4 linked regions of the Sus scrofa genome follow. The protein of the gene in region 4 purifies or fractionates together with the protein of the main gene of each other region. This does not show direct contact. Links are inferred from orthologs where the notes say so. Each region holds a gene or a part of one and is shown on either strand. Other genes may lie near its edges. The genes, in order: PLXNB2, DAAM1, DIAPH2 and RHOD.

What was found.
Region 1: the proteins of RHOD (region 4) and PLXNB2 purify together in Homo sapiens (affinity purification with mass spectrometry; 3 studies listed by BioGRID and IntAct, counting the BioPlex papers as one, with this or other methods). This does not show direct contact. The link is inferred for Sus scrofa from reciprocal best matches to the Homo sapiens genes RHOD and PLXNB2.
Region 2: the proteins of RHOD (region 4) and DAAM1 purify together in Homo sapiens (affinity purification with mass spectrometry; 3 studies listed by BioGRID and IntAct, counting the BioPlex papers as one, with this or other methods). This does not show direct contact. The link is inferred for Sus scrofa from reciprocal best matches to the Homo sapiens genes RHOD and DAAM1.
Region 3: the proteins of RHOD (region 4) and DIAPH2 purify together in Homo sapiens (co-immunoprecipitation; 3 studies listed by BioGRID and IntAct, with this or other methods). This does not show direct contact. The link is inferred for Sus scrofa from reciprocal best matches to the Homo sapiens genes RHOD and DIAPH2.

What each region holds. Positions count from the first base shown.
Region 1 is NC_010447.5:389,020-393,536, reverse strand, and holds the start of PLXNB2 (plexin-B2), read right to left. Parts: upstream 3,191-4,517; 5' UTR 3,040-3,190; intron 1-3,039.
Region 2 is NC_010443.5:188,464,272-188,468,199, reverse strand, and holds part of DAAM1 (disheveled-associated activator of morphogenesis 1), read right to left. Parts: coding exon 3,810-3,928; intron 2,896-3,809; coding exon 2,785-2,895; intron 2,668-2,784; coding exon 2,564-2,667; intron 1,450-2,563; coding exon 1,383-1,449; intron 1,176-1,382; coding exon 1,058-1,175; intron 622-1,057; coding exon 483-621; intron 206-482; coding exon 147-205; intron 1-146. UniProt on the Homo sapiens protein: Binds to disheveled (Dvl) and Rho, and mediates Wnt-induced Dvl-Rho complex formation. May play a role as a scaffolding protein to recruit Rho-GDP and Rho-GEF, thereby enhancing Rho-GTP formation. Can direct nucleation and elongation of new actin filaments.
Region 3 is NC_010461.5:78,600,890-78,605,258, reverse strand, and holds the start of DIAPH2 (protein diaphanous homolog 2), read right to left. Parts: upstream 2,875-4,369; 5' UTR 2,515-2,874; coding exon 2,380-2,514; intron 1-2,379. UniProt on the Homo sapiens protein: Could be involved in oogenesis. Involved in the regulation of endosome dynamics.
Region 4 is NC_010444.4:5,401,259-5,405,846, forward strand, and holds the start of RHOD (rho-related GTP-binding protein RhoD), read right to left. Parts: upstream 2,957-4,588; 5' UTR 2,883-2,956; coding exon 2,772-2,882; intron 1-2,771. UniProt on the Homo sapiens protein: Involved in endosome dynamics. May coordinate membrane transport with the function of the cytoskeleton. Involved in the internalization and trafficking of activated tyrosine kinase receptors such as PDGFRB.

The sequences.
Region 1 (4,517 bases), on a different chromosome or scaffold from region 4:
CAGGGGCAGGGACCGGGCCAGCCCCCACCCCCAGTTAGGGACCGGCCGCCAGTGAACCTGCATCCGCCTGACAGAGGGAGGTAGAGGCCGGGAGACCAGCGCAGCCCCCTCCTTCTGGCCAGGCCTGGGTTCGAGTCCAGGCAGGCTGACCAGTTCATCTCCGCCCCTCACCGGCCCCCAGCCTTACCCACACCCTTGTCCAGGGCAGGCTCTGGGCATGAGGCTCCTCCACAGGGGAGAAAAGCTTATTCCCCCCACCCAGGCCAGGAAGCCACGGCAGGACAGGGGGCCTTGTCGCTGCAGCAAGAAGGACTGAGGCGTGGTGTAAGGACTTCCTGCAGAAGGACTGCAGAGTGGACCTGCCCAGACCAGAAAAGGGACCACGGGAGAGGCGCTGGAAGCCACAGCCTGTCCTGCCAGGGCACCCTCTGCCCACACCCAGAGTGCTCACCAGCTCTGACCCCCAGGCTGTGAGTTCAAGGCTGGGAACAGGACACCATGACGGCTCAAGGGCCTGCAACGAGCTGTCCTGGGGGAGAAGGGCACACGCCATATGGACCCCTCCTCAGGCTGCCAGCCCCCGCCCGTGCCTTCCACCCCAATCTCTTCCGCTCCACTCGCCTGGGCTGGGGCCAGGCCCCTGGGTTTCCTGCACTGGGCCCCAGCTGTCAGCTCTGCCTCCCACCGTGGTCCCTACAGGGCCACCGGCTGCACACATGCGAAGTGGACCCCAGGAGCCCACTCAGCAGAAGCAGCATCCCAGACAGCTCCTTGAAAGGACCCAAGGGACCCATCTCTGGCCTTGAGCTCCTCAGCCATGGGATGGGCTCACAGGTGCCACATCTAAACGTGGGAGGGGTTTGGGGGCACAAGGGCTGGGCTGTCGGAGGGGCTTGGAGAACCGTGGTGCATCAGTCGCCTGCTGGTTTGTGGGTCAGTCAAGAGGCAGGAGGGTGGCCTGAGATGCAGCCAGTGAGAGAGCCCAGTGCCCCACCCACCCTAAGCAGCCATCCCGCCCTGCCCGCTCGTCACCCCAGGGAAGCACCGGTGTGAGTAACCGGCCCAAGGTGTGTCCATGACCTGGGCCCTGGAGGGCAGCCTCAAAGGGCCCTGGGGCCACGGTGCTAAGGCCTCTGGGGTGAAGGGGGCTCCTGGCTGGGCCGCTGCCCTGGGCCCCAGGGAACAGGGTTCAGGACTCCCTCCGCACCCTCGCCCCCCCCCGCCCCCTGGAGGGGCCCGGGCCCGCACCAGGCCCTCCCAGCAGGGCCTGCCTGCGACCTCTGGCGGTTCTCCAGCCCAAGGGTGACGCATCGCCCCCACCCTGCCCCCAACCGGTCTGAGCAGCCGCGGAGGTGGCAGAGCTGCCCAGACTTGCCTGTCCCTCCCTTCGGAGGCTCTCTGCGCGGCCCCGGAAGCGGATCTCTCTCCCAGGGCTGTGGCCTCCCCCCTTGGGTGGCTGGACACGGCTGGATAATCCAAAATAATTCCTTCTTGGCAGGCGGCCGGTGGGGGAGGGGGGGACTTGCATTCCAAACCCTTGTTTTTCTCTAACTTCCCTCCCCTCCGGGGGCAAGGAGCCCCAGCCAGACCTCAAGCCCCCCTTCCTCAGAAGGAGGTGGCCCCCCCATAGGTAAGGGGAGGGAGGAGGTGGGAGGCTGGGACCATCTGCGTGCGCTCAGTCTCCTCCGGGAATTCCTCAAAGCTGACACACCACCAAAAATACCCAAGGGGCCCGGCCAGGCCCACGGTGACCCTCCTAGGGACCCTCACCTCAGAGCACAGCACCCCCCGCAGGTGTCCAACCCTCAGATGCTCCCCTCTGTGCCAGGATACCATCTGGACGCGGGGTCAGGCCGAAAGCCCCCAGCCCCCTGGGCTTGTTCTCCCACCTCCACAGGTCCTGCCCCACCTCTGCCCCAGGGGGGCACTGGGGCTGAACTTAGACCTGGAAGGAGGAGCTCCCCAGGGCAGGTATGGGCCCAGAGAGTCCCCAAGCCCCAGAACATTCCACGAGCTTTGGGGCTGAGCCTCACCCCCAGGCCTGACCCCCACCACAGGCCCCGAGCCCAGCCAGACCCCTTCCTTCTTTTTCCAAGTTGTTGGCAAGAGCCCAGTGACGTGGCAGGAAGCGCTGAGGCTCTTGAGCTCAGGGACTCCCCTCAAAATCTGCCAGACAGCTGAGCGCAGAGGAGTGGGAAGGGTCCGTCTGGGAGGGCTTCCTGCAGGAGGAGGCACACAGAGGTGCAGGGCCCGAGCCTGAGGGGGCAGGGCCCAGGCGGCCGGCAGAGACTTCCTGGGCCCCAGAGTGTCCACCCAAACCGCACCCCAATAAACCTTGGCAACTGGGCGCAGGCTGCGCGGCGAAGCAGGCGGGGACCCCCGGGACCTGCCCAGCGCTGGGCTGCGCCCGGTCCCAGCCCAGAACTGCGCACCCGCCTCGCAGCCTGCCAGGTGCGGACCAGGGGCTCCCAGGGCGGTCCTGGCTGCCGCCCTCCTCACAAGGCCCCGGGGGTGCGGGGCGCTGAGGCCCGACCACTGCCCAGCTTCCCGGGGAGAAAGCCGCGGCTCCGCCTCGGCCGCCGCCGGGGAACCAGAGCTGGGGTGGGGAGGCGGTGCAGGCCTGGAGCTCTGGCACAACGGAGACCATCTCCGCCCCCTGCACCGATCTCCGAGGCCAGAGGAGCGGGGGCGTGAGCAGGGGGGGAGCTCTGGGAGCCCCAAGGGGTCCGAGGGGCTCCAGAGGGACGCGGGCGGCGGGAGGGGCCGCGGCGCCCGGCCGGGGCCCCCTGGCTGCGCCGGGCCCGCTGTCTCGGGCTCCGCAGGCCTCGCCCGCCACCTGGAAGAGCGTGGGGCGGGAGTGGCCCGGCCCCGGACGGCCCGACACACAGACGGCGGCAGAGGCCCGAGTCGCCCTCCGCCGGGCGGCAGCGGCCCGAGTCCCCCTGCGTCCCGAGCGCTCCAGGCCAGGGCGGAGCGGCGCGGCCGGCCACCCGCCCCCCCAGCCGGCCGCCCCGCGGGCCCCGCACCGCATCTCCGTACCTGCACGTCCGCCGCCGAGGCTCGATGGCGCCCGGGCCGCGCTCGGCGCTGTGCTGCGGCCCGCGCGGCTGCCATGGAGACGGGCCTTTGTGTGGCCGAGGAGGGGCCGGAGCGCGCGGGAGCAGCGGCCCCGCCCCCGGCGGGGAGCGGGGGAGGGGAGGGGAGGAGCGGGGGAGGGGAGAGCGGAGGGGGGAGGGCGGAGGGAGAGCAGGGGCCCCACGGGCGGGGCGCCCCCCGCGTCCCTGGTGCCCGCTGGCCACGGTGGGCGCGGCGCGTTCGCGGGCCTGGTTCGGGTCCAAGTTGGCGCCAGGGGAGCCCCGGTCTGGGTACTGGAGGAGAGCGGGGGCCAGACCGAGGTCCCCGAGGCACCCTTGCAGTTCTGTCGGAGAGGGGCCGGCCACCAGCACCCCTTCCCTCACACTGGGGAACAGGCCAGGCGGGCCACGCCCTTGCCCTGTGGGGGGGCTCGGAGCTGCTGGGTCTTGCCTCCCACCCTCCTAGGGGAAGAGGGCACCTGCCCTGTGTCCCCTCAAGTACATCCTTGGCCTCCATCTGCTCTCCTACTCCCTGGGACCCCCCCCCCCAGTGAGCCTTTGGGGACCTGTGCACAGGACCCAGTTACTCTCTCGGGTGCTCGCAGGTGGGTGGTGAGATGAGCCTCTCCCAGGGCTCCAGCTCTGGACTAGAGTTTGCCCCACGTCCGTCCGGCCACTCCAGCCCCTACCCATCCTGGTCCTGATGCCCCCAGCCCCTCAGACTTGAGCAGGGGGGGGGCTCCACTGCCCCCCACCCACAGTCTCCAGCAGAGGACCCAGGAAGGATGTGGGACCCTTCCCCAGCCCTAACCTCTACTTCCATACCGGGACGCCCCCTCCCATCTTTGGGGACCCACTCTCCACCCAGCCCTTCCCCTCCCTGCAGATGCTCCATTTCCTCTATCTCAGCCTCCAACCCAGATGAAGCCACTGGAGATGGTGGGTCACCCGTCATCGGTTCTTCCTGCTACCCTCCCACCCCCACCCAGCCGGCCAAACCTTCACCCCTTCGGCCCTGAAGCAAATCACACCAAGACCCACCCCACGTTCATCACAGGGGACCCTCAAATAACCAAGTTCTGACAGGGATGCCAACTTTTGTCAAAAAAGGAAATTAAAAGACAAGCATTGTGTCACAGGGCATTTTAATACCAAAGATGTGGGAAGGCCACCATCCCAGCCTAAAAGAGAGTCTTTAAATAGAGTGCAGGAAGCTGGGGGGTGAGGACTGTCCTTCCTGTCCCTGCAGCCGCCCACTGGCGCCCTCCACCCCACCCCCACCCCGGGCCCACGCACACCACTACCCTCACACCCCGGCCTCAGACCAGGAGTTGCAGCCCCTCCAGGCCCTGCTGCCCAGGGGCTCTGGTAGGAGATGGCTCCGCCTCTTCTGCCCACCTGCCCCCCCTGCCCTCCTCACTCTCTGACCCCAGCCCCGTGGGG
Region 2 (3,928 bases), on a different chromosome or scaffold from region 4:
GCCCTGAAGACATGGAGGGGAAAGACTGTTTATGCACCAAAGTAAAAAAGTAAGAAGATTCAATGCAGCTTTCTAAAATATACAGTAAGGAGAGTTGTCCAATAACCAATAACATGGCTTCTTCTCATCAGGACCTCATCATTTACCTTTTCTCATTTTTTCCGCTTGTTCTTTCCACTGCTTCACTTCATTTTCATTAACCAACCTGTATAATAGTTAAAGGAGCATTCATTACAAAAAGCACAAAGACCCACTGCTAAATGCATGCTTTCTGGGTACAAAAATTGTTTACTGCAGAGAAAATCCTCAGCATGCTTGAAACCCATTTTGAACCCAGATGTTATGTAGATATATGACATGCATACGTATAGGAACTCAAGGGTGACCTCTAGAACATTTCAGTTCTCCCACTTGCTATTTTGAAATAAATGTCCTACATTGTCACTATTATCTCAAGGGCTGCCAAATAAGAAGAAACTTACATCCGGACGACATTCTTAATATTAAAGTTTTCCAAAGGCGTGGAGTCAGGGTCTTGACCTTTGTCGTTCTGAATAACTATTTGCTGTATAATTCTATCCAGCAGTAGCCAGTACTGAACGGTGTTGCCACTTCTCTTGTCTAAAAAAAAAAGAAAAGAATGGTGGAAATACTTCAAGTGGTTTCTAAACTTGGATGAGCATTTTTCAACAGTGGTCATCCACCAGAGCCACAGAACCAGAGAGATGTTTGCAACATCTGCACCACCCCTTCCCAAAATTTCTGAAATTCTGACAGGCAATGATCATTTATATGATTGAGGGGCATTTTCTACCCCTTTCTAAATGTACTGTAAGGCATATATTTATTTTTAAAATCAAAGTGAGTTATAATTCATGTCATTTTGAGAACTTCACAACACCCCTTAAGCTGTGTGGAGACACACTGGGCTGTCACAAAACCAAGGTCGGGAATGCCTGGTGTGCACCCAACCTAGTCCACACTCTTCAGAAGACAGAGGCCTTTGGCTGATGTCTAAATGTTCACAGACACTCAGGTAAGTCACATATACACTCACAAGGCATTTGGAGGCAGTGGTGCAGGATGGACATGAAGTGAGGGTAAGCTTCACTGTGGGTCAGCCTCTTCCTGGTCAGCTCAAACATCTGAGTAGCACTTTTTGTGTCTATGTGAACCTGTTTCATATGAAAAAGAAATCCAAGTCCAACATCCAAGTTCATCAATTTCTACAAGGTAAGGTAAACAAATCCAAGGCAATCTAGCCACTTAGCAAAACAGAAATTTGATTTTGCTCTGGTTATATGTCAACGCTATGACACACATTACAACAGGGAAATCTATGAACTGCTGAGTCAAATCAAAATAATTGTAAGCATACATACCAGTTCAAATCTTTTGGCAAATTCTAGTTCATCTTCATTTCGGAGCATTTCAAAAAAATCTAAATGCCTGAAAGTCAGTTAAAGAAAAGCTATTAAAAGTAGAACATCCTACAAACACAGGCACATGGGAATCAGGACATTAATACTATGGCCTTTCCTAAATTTTCAGATACTTCTAAAAGAAATAAGACAACAAAATCTGAATGCCTTCCCTTAACCATGTTCTATCATCTAAATGAAATGAGATCACTACAAGAGACAAAAAGCCTAGGATGCCTAGCACATAGAGGCCAAGGCATAAAGGTTTATCAAATCCCAAAATAATCAAATCCAGGTTCTACTCCCAGAATCTATAGAATGAAAACCCGATATAACTAACTTGACTGACCACTCAACTAAAGATTACAAAACAAATGTTCATGCCATTCACTTATTCATTCAAATATTTATTGAATATTGACACCAGGGATGATGAGTTCTGTGAAGATAAATACATCAGGGTAGAGGGAATAGAGATGATGGGAGGTGAGGTGAGGAAGGTGAACACCAAGGTTGGAAAAGGTGTCTCTGTAGGGAACAAGTCATCTGGACATCTTTGGGAAGATCTTTTAATGCTGAAGAAATAGGTGCAAAGGCCTTGGGGCAAGGGTATTTTGACATGTTCATGGAATATCAAGGAGAAGAGCATGGTGGAGTGTGTGCATGAGGGGGAAGAGTAGTAAAAGGCAAGATCTGAGAGCTGGGAGGATATGTTAGAAATTGTAAAATGACTGCAGACAAGAGCAAATGAACAGGAAAGTGGAAATTAACATTCAGAGATTGTCTATCAAAGGTGCCCAGTGATTCCACATGGTTTACAGTCAACTTTCTTAACAGCTCTGAAAGAGAGCAACAAACAGCAGCATCATTATTTCTTCAGGAATAAAACCAGTAAAGTTCAGAAAAATTGAGTAACTTGACCAAAATACACAGCAAGGAAGTGGCAGGACAAGGATATGGATTCAAGTCTAAAGTCAAAACTACACAAGTTCCCTAAGCAATGTGCTGCTTCTTCCATTGAGAGAAGCCTTACTATAAAAACATCTATTAGCCGGCAACATTTTGGTTCAAGTTCCTTAGGTCACAAGTAGTTCACAGACGGACTCTATACACACAGCAAAAGCATGAACAGTCTGACTTACCTATCTAATGTTGAATTTTCATGTTCCCTTAATTTATCTATTACAGGTTGAATTCCCAACATCAGAAATTCATAGCGAAGATGAAGTCTAAAGTCCAAACTTTCCTGAAAGTAAAAGGGTGATGAGTACATATATAGGCTCTTTAGACTAGATAATCTGTAATCTTTTAAAATTATTCTTTAATAATGTATATTTTAAATTGAGGTACAGGAGGCTCTTACCACTCCTGCGCCTTGGCTTAGCACTGCATTGATGAAGGACATGATGGCAGTCTTGAGGCTCACTTCATCTCGATACCGCCCCGTGCTTTTATCCAGGTCATTAATTAACGTCTACCAAGGATGCAAGCGTGAAAACAAAGGGCTGAATATAATTGCTTACCTTACACTCATTTTATTCAGAACTTAATTTTTAAAAACTCATGTTTAATCACTGATCCATAGAAAGCTAGCTTTTCCCCTTAAGATTAGTCCTAAAAACTTTGCTTTCAAAATTCTTACATCATCTATGTTCAAATATACAATTAAACAAAGTACAAATGACTGTGCTTGGTTAATTCTGCTTGCTTTTTATATTTGAGTAGAAATATGGTGACATACTGTCACTGTTTATATAGATCCTAAATCAAGAATGGCAAGTCATAAAATTTTTAGGGATCGCCCATTTAGTGGATCAAAAAGCGTATAATATAATGCGTAGGAAGCAGGGCTATGTTTTTAAATTCAGAACAGTGATCTCCCCTCATCCTCAGGGGGTATGTCCCAGGATCCCCAGTGGACGCCTGAAACCATGGATAGTACTGAACCCTATATACACTTCTACAGAGACTATGTTTTCCCTATATGAACCGCTGAATGCTGTGTACAGTGTGGCTACACTAGACAAAAGGATGATTCACATCCTGGGAGGGACTGAGCAGGATGGCCTGAGATTTCATCATGTTATTCAGACCAGCTGCACAGTTTAAAATTTCTGGAATTTTCTGTTTAATATTTTTACACCACAGTTGACTGTGGGTAAATGGCATTGTGGAAAGCAGATCTGCAGGTAAGAGGGGACTACTGTAAATCCACAACCCTGGACTGATTAACTACAGGAAGAATATTCTACTCTCTGCCTAAGAGGAAGGAAATGCTTGAAGTCACGACGTGAATGATCACCACAGGGGGAAATCTCAAGTTCTGTTTCCCCTTCAGGGCAGGAAAAGGCACTGTCGGGAGGCCTGAATGAAGAAGGAAGCACCCACCTGAAAACGGGTTCTTTCGCTGGCATACTTCTGGTAGTGCAGCATGGCCTGCAGAACCTTCTTGTGGCCCCCGGGAACCAGGCACACAGCGCCCAAGATTTCCAGCACGGCTACCTTCG
Region 3 (4,369 bases), on a different chromosome or scaffold from region 4:
CCCACTGCAACTCCTTTACACAAACATAATTAAGGACTGCTACAGTGATTAACAACATTAACACAGAAAATTAAATGTTGTCTAGGTAAATATGTATTTTACTAGCAATATTTTACGAAGCCCAGATGAACTCCTCTCTAAAAGGCCTTAGAAGACCATGTAGACCACTTCAATAAGACAACTCAAAAGGAGTAAGGCATTTATTTAAAAAGTTTACCAAGTCTTGTTATTTAGACAACGTTCCTTCCTTAAAAATGTGCTGAAATGTCTTCCTAAATTTGTTTTCGTTAACTCTGACATACTTGCTTGTAAAATAACGTATGGCTTAAAAGTTATTTTGAGCAAAAAAGTCCCTATTGATATTAAACTCTTGGATTCAAACTCTTGTTCTGCTATACCAAGCTAGGCACTGAAAGTGATACCATCTCATAACTATCTAGTTACCTTGTCAAAGCATAAAAGATGAAACAGGACAAATGGCCAAATGGAAGGGAAGAATATAACCAAGGTGTTATTCCTGAGATGAGTGCTTTTTCCTTAAGCGCATAGATCCTAAAAGTGGAAAGTTCTTGCTGAAAGTATCAAACTGTGGAAACTATCAGCTCACTTTAATTTTTCACTAAAACTTTTCCTCACCGTTTAAACCACAGTTTTGTACTGAGTCCAAAAGAAAATAAAAAGGAAACGCGGTCACTTTTCTACCACAAATTGATAAATTTCAAAATCACAACATCACAATTTTTAAACACATTAAATTCTGGCGACACCCACAAAACTTCGAAGTCTTTACAATAGGAGCACCATTAACCCTCTGCCAGCAAAGACAATTCACAAAGAACTTGTGACTCAATTTCTTCACTTGTAAATACCTGGGGGTGGGGGGTGGAGGGAGTGAGAATTACATCAAGTAATTCTCAATTTGCCTCAAGTTAGGGTGGACTTGATGAGACGTTAGACCTGGTTATTTTATTCTACCCGCCGGGTCCCTCTCCACATAACAGAAGACTTCGTATTTCCTATAACCATAACACTTCGATCACTGTTTTCCAATATGGACAATCCATAATTGAAAGGCAAATAGGAGGCATGAGAACAACAGGTACATACCAAATGGCCAGATGCCATAAGGGCTTTAGTTATATGTCACTGCCTCCTTCCTTCTTAGAATCAAGCTGCAGGTTAAAACTGAAAACTAGATATGCAACACGTGGCTTGTGCTTCAGACCTCAACTAAGAAACTTCACATTGAAGTTGTATTAGCTGAAATTGTTCAGGAAAACCATCTGCCTTCATGCTACCCGAATTAGAAAGTTTATTGATAAATGTCTGCCTCTATCGGCTAAGGGTTGGCAGAAACAGTCTTTAGCTAATATGCTTTATTAATTTCACCAGTTTTTAGGTTTCACTATTATTAAACTGTTTTCCTATAAACTGAAGAAAAAAAAAAAAAAAGAGGAACCGTTTTTACTGATGAGCTGAAAAAAACTCCAGTATTTCCCAATCTAATACCAGGCCCCATAGATTTCATTCCTCTGCACATGAAGTCAGTGGCAGGAAATGGACTGCTCCCACTGGTTCACACACTCTCAGGACAGGGAGATTTGTTCAGTCTGCCTGCCGCTTTTGGAGCGTTCTCAATCAACTAAGTACAAGTACTTAGACTCTGCCTATTACACACACGACAGCTGTTGGCACCTCAGCAGCCTCCAACGCCCACACTCCCCCCACTCTTCCAAAGAAATGTTTCTTGGGAGAGCACATGGAGAGGCAAGGGAGGGGTAAAAAAAAAAGTCACGTAGGCGGCTCTTTCTTAGATTTCTGGTCCAGTAAAAGACTGGGGGCCTACGTTGTGTGGTTTTGTTGTTATTGTTTGGAGGGATTGGTTAGTTGATTGGTCTGGGGTGTTTTTTTGTTTGTTTGTTTGTTTGTTTGTAAGTCTGTGGGTGGGCTTCCAAGTACTGAGACTAAGAGAGGTTTCCCTGCCCGGACCCTAACCGTTAAGAGGTAAAGCCCAGCAACTGACAAGGGTGGAAGGGGAGTGGAATCTCGCAAAAAAGGTTGGTGGCCGCAAGTTAGACAAACAACAGCCCCTACCCAGTACACGGGGTCTCCCCAAGTTGGGGTGGGGCCTTCCTCCTTCCCGCACTGCCTCTCGGGCTGCCAAGAGGGAGAAAGGGATTAAGTGGAAAGGGGGTGCTCTTCCGCCCCCACGCCGTCTCCGCGCCTCGGCGTGGCCGCTGCTTTCGCGGCTCCCCGAGTTGCACAGCGAGGTCGCGGTCACCCTTGGGAGGGGGCCCCGGGTCCCCCTGTGTTCAACGGCAGGAGGATCCCGGGGCTCTCGCTGTCCCCAAGAACGGCGGGGGCTGCGGGAGCACTCACCAATTTTGGTTTGTTTTTCGTTTCCTCTTCGTTGGCGGCCCGGTTCCCCGCGCTCCGCTTGTTGCTTCGGCCCCCACTGGGTTCCTCGCCGCCGCCTCCCGCGCCCGCCGCCGCCGCCGCCCCGAGCTGCTCCATCTTTCTCCGGCCCTGTCACCTGTGCCCTGGAACCCCACCTCTCCTCCACTGAGGAAGCCCCTCGGGGCGGTCCAGCTGCCCCGCGCAGATTCGGCAGCACCTCTTTCCGGGAGGGAGAGTGGGTCTGTCTGGGGAGCTGCCGATCTCACGTCCCTGAGGCCCCCGGCTCCCAGGCACCCCCGACGCGACACGCCGTTGCCACTATTCTGCGCTGGGGCAAGCCCTGCCCCTGAGCGGCTGCTATTATCCCGGTCGCCGCCGCCGCCGCCGCCCTCAGGGCGGTGTTTAGGGTGGAGGGAAAGTAGGTGCCTATCTCTTTAAGAGGGCCTCCACACACGTGATTCATCAAAGTGCCCGCAGTCCGCCGCCCGGACGCGGAAAGCTACTTCCTACTCCCGCTGCCGAGCGGGTCGGGCTACTGAGCATGCCCGGCGCAGCGAAGGCAGCCAAACGAGGGGAGTTTAAGCTGCGGTTAAGCACTGATTTCCCTTCCTAGGGGCCTAATGTGAAATGGGAGGGAACTAGCCGAGAGGGAGAAGGTGTAGCCCATTTCAGAGATGGGGACACTGAGGCCCGAGAGGATTCCCGTGTGGATTTCACGGGGCCGTCTCTCTTAGTGTCCGCTTCCACTCGTGTAGGCCTGAGCACCTTCCCTGGCTGACCGAGGCCTTGCCAGGTGGTTTGGTTGCGCTCCATTCTGTGGGAGGGGTTGATTGGCAAGGCAACCCGCGTCCCGTAGGAAAACCGCCACAGGGAGCGCTGATTAATTGCCTAGACAGACTGCACGGGTCAAAGTGGAAAGAGTGGGTGCTTTCTGTTGCCATGATTGCGTTGCGACCAAAGAAATACAGTCGTTCCTTTATTCCCAGGCTGCTGGGTAGAGGCAGCTGACGCCCACTGCTTAATCCCTAGGGGATGTAAGGCTCTCTAGCCAAAGCACCTATGGAGAGCTAACAATTGGATTGAGTACTATTTTTTAAGTTTTCCGAAACACTTCAGGTTTAAAGTTGTTTCGCGGAGTAAGATCGTGTGTGTCAAAGATCATTTGTTGAAAATGTAAATCTAGACAAATGCTAGGTGTTTTTGTGCAGCAACAGCAACCACCAAACACTGTGGGTATTCTTAGTCTCTAGTACCAGAGTTGTCAGGAAGAGGCCCACACCTCTTTAAAAATAATGCTCACATTGAGAACATTAGCAGGGCCAGGCAAGACCTGAATGAACCATCATGGTACAATCTGGAGAAGCTACCTGAAAAGTCAATTTAGGTCCCAAATCTATGAACATGCCCATGTGCCTGTTATTCAGATATCTTCAGACCGTGACCCTTTTACCATTCTCCCCTTCAGCCTAAATTTGTCTGTGCTGAAACTAATTTGTTTATGAACACATTTATTGAGAGTGCATTAGGATGAATTTGACCAGGCTAAAGGGGTGAGGAGGCAATTAACTTGGAAAGTAGAATAAAAAGAATGTTAGCTATCTGAAAGCAGTCTAAATCCTGGCTTGGCCTTTGTCATCAACATTCTTTTTAATCAAACAGGTAGTAAACTACCCAAGGACAGCAGGCAAAAGGGAATACATGCTCCCAGACAGGGTGGGCAAAGAGCCCCAAGGTAAATTTGCTTTGTTGAAGTTCCTATTTGACTTAAAATTTGATGTATATTTTGAACTCACTACACACACACACTCACTCCCATGTGATTTATTTTTTTTTCCCTGCATGATTTACATTACTTAAATATCTCCCCTCCTGAGAAATGGTGTAGAAATGAATGCTGCAGAAAGACACGACCTGATTATGCAGTACTTTTGTAGAATTCCCGTTGGAGAGATGTGGGCGTGGGCCATAGCTG
Region 4 (4,588 bases):
GGGGGCTGCAGAGAGTGTCCTGGTCATGGGCGGGAAGACGTGGGTTCCAGGCCAGCACTGCCCCTGCCAGGCCCTGTGGCCTGAGGCCAGACTCCTCTCTCTCTCTCTTCTCTGGCCTCAGTTTTCCTGAAGATGAAGGTTGTTCCAGCTCTCAGCCCTTGTGTTTTTTTCTTTCCTTTCGCTAGCTATGCCTGTGGCATAAGGAAGTTCTTGGGCCAGGGGTCGAATCAGAGCTGCAGCTGCAGGCTATACCACAGCCACGGCAACACCAGATCTGAGCTGTCTCTGTGACCTACACTGCAGTTTGCAGCCATGGCGGATCCTTAATCCACTGGGAGAGGCCAAGGCTCAAACCCACATCCTCACAGAGACGACGCTGTGTTCATAACCCGCTAAGCCACAGCAGGACCTCTGCTCTTGTGTTTCTTTCTTCTTCTTCTTCTTTTTTTTTTTTTTTTTTGCTTTTTAGGGCCGCACTTGAGGCATATGGAGATTCCCAGGCTAGGGGTCAAATCAGAGCTATAGCTGCCGGCCTACACCACAGCCACAGCAATGCTAGATGCTTAACCCACTGAGCAAGGCCAGGAATCAGACCTGCAACCTCATGATTCCTAGTCGGATTCATTTCCACTGCGCCACGACGGGAACTCCATGCCCTTGTGGGTTTTTTTGTTTGTTTGTTTTTTTAAACGCTTAGAGTTAGACCACTTTATTTATTTATTTATTTATTTTGCTTTTTAGGGCCGCGCCTGCAGCATATGGAGGTTCCCAGGCTAGGGATCTAATGGGAGCTACAGCTGCCAGCCTACGCCACAGCCACAGCCACGCTAGATCTGAGCTGTGTCTGCAACCTATACCACAGCTCATGGCAATGCTGTAGCCTTAGCCCACTGAGCGAGGCCAGGGATCGAACCTGCAACCTCATGGTTCCTAGTCGGATTCCTTTTTGCTGCACCACGATGGGAACTCCATGCCTTTGTGTTTCTTTTAAGTGAAGAGGTCTCTCAGAGTTTCCCGTGTGGCTCAGTGAGTTAAGCTCCTGACTAGTATTCATGAGGATGTGGGTTTGATCCCTGGCCTCGCTCAGTGGGTTAAGGATCCAACATTGCCACAAGCGGTGGTGTGGGTTGCAGATGTGGCTCGAATCCTGAATTGCTATGGCTGCGGCGTGGGCAAGAAGCTGCAGATCCGATTTGCCCCCTAACCTGGGAACTCCCATATGCCACAGGTGAGGCCCTAAAAAAAAGACAAAAAAAAGTCTCTCTTGTGCTTGGAGGTAGACAGGTCCTAGGGAGTCAGGGTTCCCTAACAGGGGAGGAGCCGAGACAAGGCCAAGTTCACCCTGGTGATAAGCATGCCTTACTTTCCCCTGGCTGCCCAGAGTGTCCTTCAACACACACACACACACACACACACACACACACACACACACACATACTTTCCATTGACTGTGAGAGTCCAGAACAGTGGTGGTGACGCACCGCTCTCCCAGCCCCTCTTCTGGGCCCCAGCTGGCCCAGCCTCTCTGTGGCGCTCCCCACACTAAGCCGTAATTGCTGGTTCTCACAGGGACCATCTGGGGGCCTGGAAACACAGCCCTCCCCCAACTAAAAAAAAAAAATCTGTGACCGGCCAAAGGACGTGACGTCAGCTCCCAAAACCACAAAGCAAGAGTCGGCTTGATGCTGCCACAGTGGAAAGAAAGGCTGACACCGTTACCAGGCCTGGCCTCTCCTGCCTCCTCCATCCAATTCCCCAGCGCTGCACCACCCCAGGGGTTCGAAGGATGCTGAGCCAGGATGGGGGCAGCGGGGGGGAAGAGGTCATACGGGAAGCAGATCCAGGGACTCCCAGGAGAACTGGGCTGAGGGGGTGGGGGCAGGCAGTGTGGGTGGTGGGTGGTCCAGCCCCTGTCCTGGTGCCGGCCAGTCTGCCTGGAGAGCCAATGAACATGCTGGAGAAGGGCTGACAGTCCACAGCCCAGGACAATCCAGAGCCCAGGCATCAAGGATGTGCCAGGTACCCAGGGGCTCTCTCAGCCTTACCTTCATTCCACCTCACCCCCACCCTCTGGTCGCTCCTCCCCCCGAGGTCGAGTGAGGAAAGGGAGGCTCCAGAGGCTGAGCGAGGTACCGAGGCCCCCGGGGTTTGTTAGAGAGGCTGAGGTGCCAACCCAGCTGCCTGGCGAGCCCATGTGCTCTTCCCCTCCAAGGCTGAGCCCAAGGGACACCCACGGCCGGGGCAGGAGTTGGGAGAAGTGATGTTTCTCCAGAAAAACTTGTGCTGCCTCTCAGTGAGTCCTTTCTGTTGCAGCTCAGAGCTGGCCTCTGACCTATAAGAACCCATTCCGCACAGCGACCCTGGGAGGTGGGCGCCATCATTACTCCTGTGGCACGGTTTAAGGAAACAGGCACAGAGAGGGTAAGGGGCGGGCCGCAGGTCACACAGCTTTAAGTGGCAGAGTCATGATCTGAAGCCAGGCGGCCTGGCTCCAGAGCCGGCCGTCCCTCTTAGCCGTGCTGGGCCACCAAGGGCTCCCTGAGTCCCCAGGTGGCCTAGGTCCGTCCCTGGGACACCCCCCCTGGCAGTGCCGTTCTTGGCACTTGACAGACGATCTCACGGAGGCCTTCACTCCCGATGGCAGAGCAAGAATGGCCTTGGAGCCCACGCTCCGCTGGGAGGCAGGACCCGAGCCCGTCGGGGGGTGGGGTGGGGGGGAAGGATGCGCCCAGGCCGCGCGCCCCGCTGCGCCCCGAGGGGCTGCCGCTCACCTCGGGGAAGGCGCCTTCGGCGAAGACCATCAGCAGCGACGTCTTCCCGCAGCCGCCGTCGCCCACCAGGACCACCTTGACCTCCTCGCGCTCGGCCCGGGCCGCCTTCATCGCGGGGCAGCGGAGGGCCGGCGCCGAGAGCGGCGAGCTGGGGCCGGCGGGGCAGGAATGTGGAAGGGGCGGGGCGGCGGGAGGAAGTGCGGGCGGCGGCGGGCGGCCCAGGTGAGAGGCCCGGCCCCTCGGGTCCCAGGCCCCGGGCAGCCCCAGAGCCCCAGAGCCCCTACCGCCCCTGCTGTGTGCCAGCGCGGAGGCCACGGCGGGGGACCCGGCGCACGCCCATCTGATGGGAGGAAAGTAGCCGGGCAGCGATGCTGTGGAAGGGGAAGAGGGGGCTCTGGGCCCACTTCCCGGGGAGCAGGGAAGCGCGGATCAGCCCTGCTGGTCTACTAGCTCCGCAGGCCGCGCTGGGGCCCTACGGCCCAGTCTAGGTGGAGCAGCCAGCGGAGCTAGTGATTTTTGATTGACTGACTGAATGAATGAAGGTGCATCTGCTCCGCAGCTCTGGAGACAGAGCACAGCACAGTCCCCGTGGTGTTCCAGGGCATGCGGGGAGGGCACACCAGTATGGGTTAGTCACTGGCACTGCCACCCGCCCCCAGCCACACCAGGAAGTCTCACTACAGGTGGGTCTCACCTCTGCCGGGGCATGATCTGGGGAAAGCCATGGAACCTTCCATGTGTGCAGGGCTTAGAGCAGGTCTGGCTCACAGCTGGCGATGCCATGTGTGAGTGATTCTTAGGACTTAACCAACACTGGTGGCTCTGTGCCCAGGACCTGGGGACCCTGAACCATTGAAGTCCAAGTCTCCCACCGGGGTCTCTCCCACGGCCTAGAATGGGAGACAGGCTGGATGCCCGTGTGGTAAGGGCCCCGGTGGTGGTGGTGGGGACAGGCAGCAGACGGGAGTCGGGAAGCCGGGCTCCTCGCCAGGGCTGAAGGTGGTCAGGAAACCCTTCTGAGAAGAGGGCCCAGAGTCTTGAGGAAAATGTGAGACGTGGTGAGATGGGGGAAGGGAAGAGGGTTCCAAATGGAGGGAGAAACATGTGCAAGGTATGGGGCCATGAGGGGGCTGTGCAGAGGGGCAGGGCGCAGATCTTTCCTGCCATGATGGCTGAGGTTGGGTTAGGGTGAGGCTGAGGGTTAAACAGGGCCTTGATGGTGGAACCATCTAGATGCCAGGAATAAATGCAGAACTGCCCTGGGGACTTACTACCACCTGACCTCCTACCCCTGTTAGCAGCCTGGATTGAAATATCTATTTTAGGAGTTCCCGTCGTGGAGCAGCAGAAATGATCCAACTAGGAACCATGAGGTTGCGGGTTGGATCCCCGGCCTCGATCAGTGGGTTAAGGATCCGGCATTGCCATGACCTGAGGTGTAGGTTGCAGATGCAGCTTGGATCTGGCGTTGCTGTGGCTGTGGTGTAGGCTCCGATTCGACCCCTAGCCTGGGACCCTCCATGTGCTGTGGGCGCGGCCCTGAAAAGCGAAAAAATAAAGTATTTTGAAACAGGCCCAAGGGCCTCCCCAGATCCCGGAGTGTTTTCACTGAAGCTCAAAGAAACAGAGGGCAAAGGTCTTTGGGGTTCACCCCCTCCCCCCATGAGCCATGGCATCGTTCCTCACAGCGTTCAAACCACAAAGGTGAAAAACCATCCTCGGCCCCTTTGAACCTCACCTGTGGCCCAAACAGGCAACCAGGGCAAGAGGCACTGCCCCCACTGCCCAGAGGCAGAGCCCAGGCCCTCGAGTCCCAT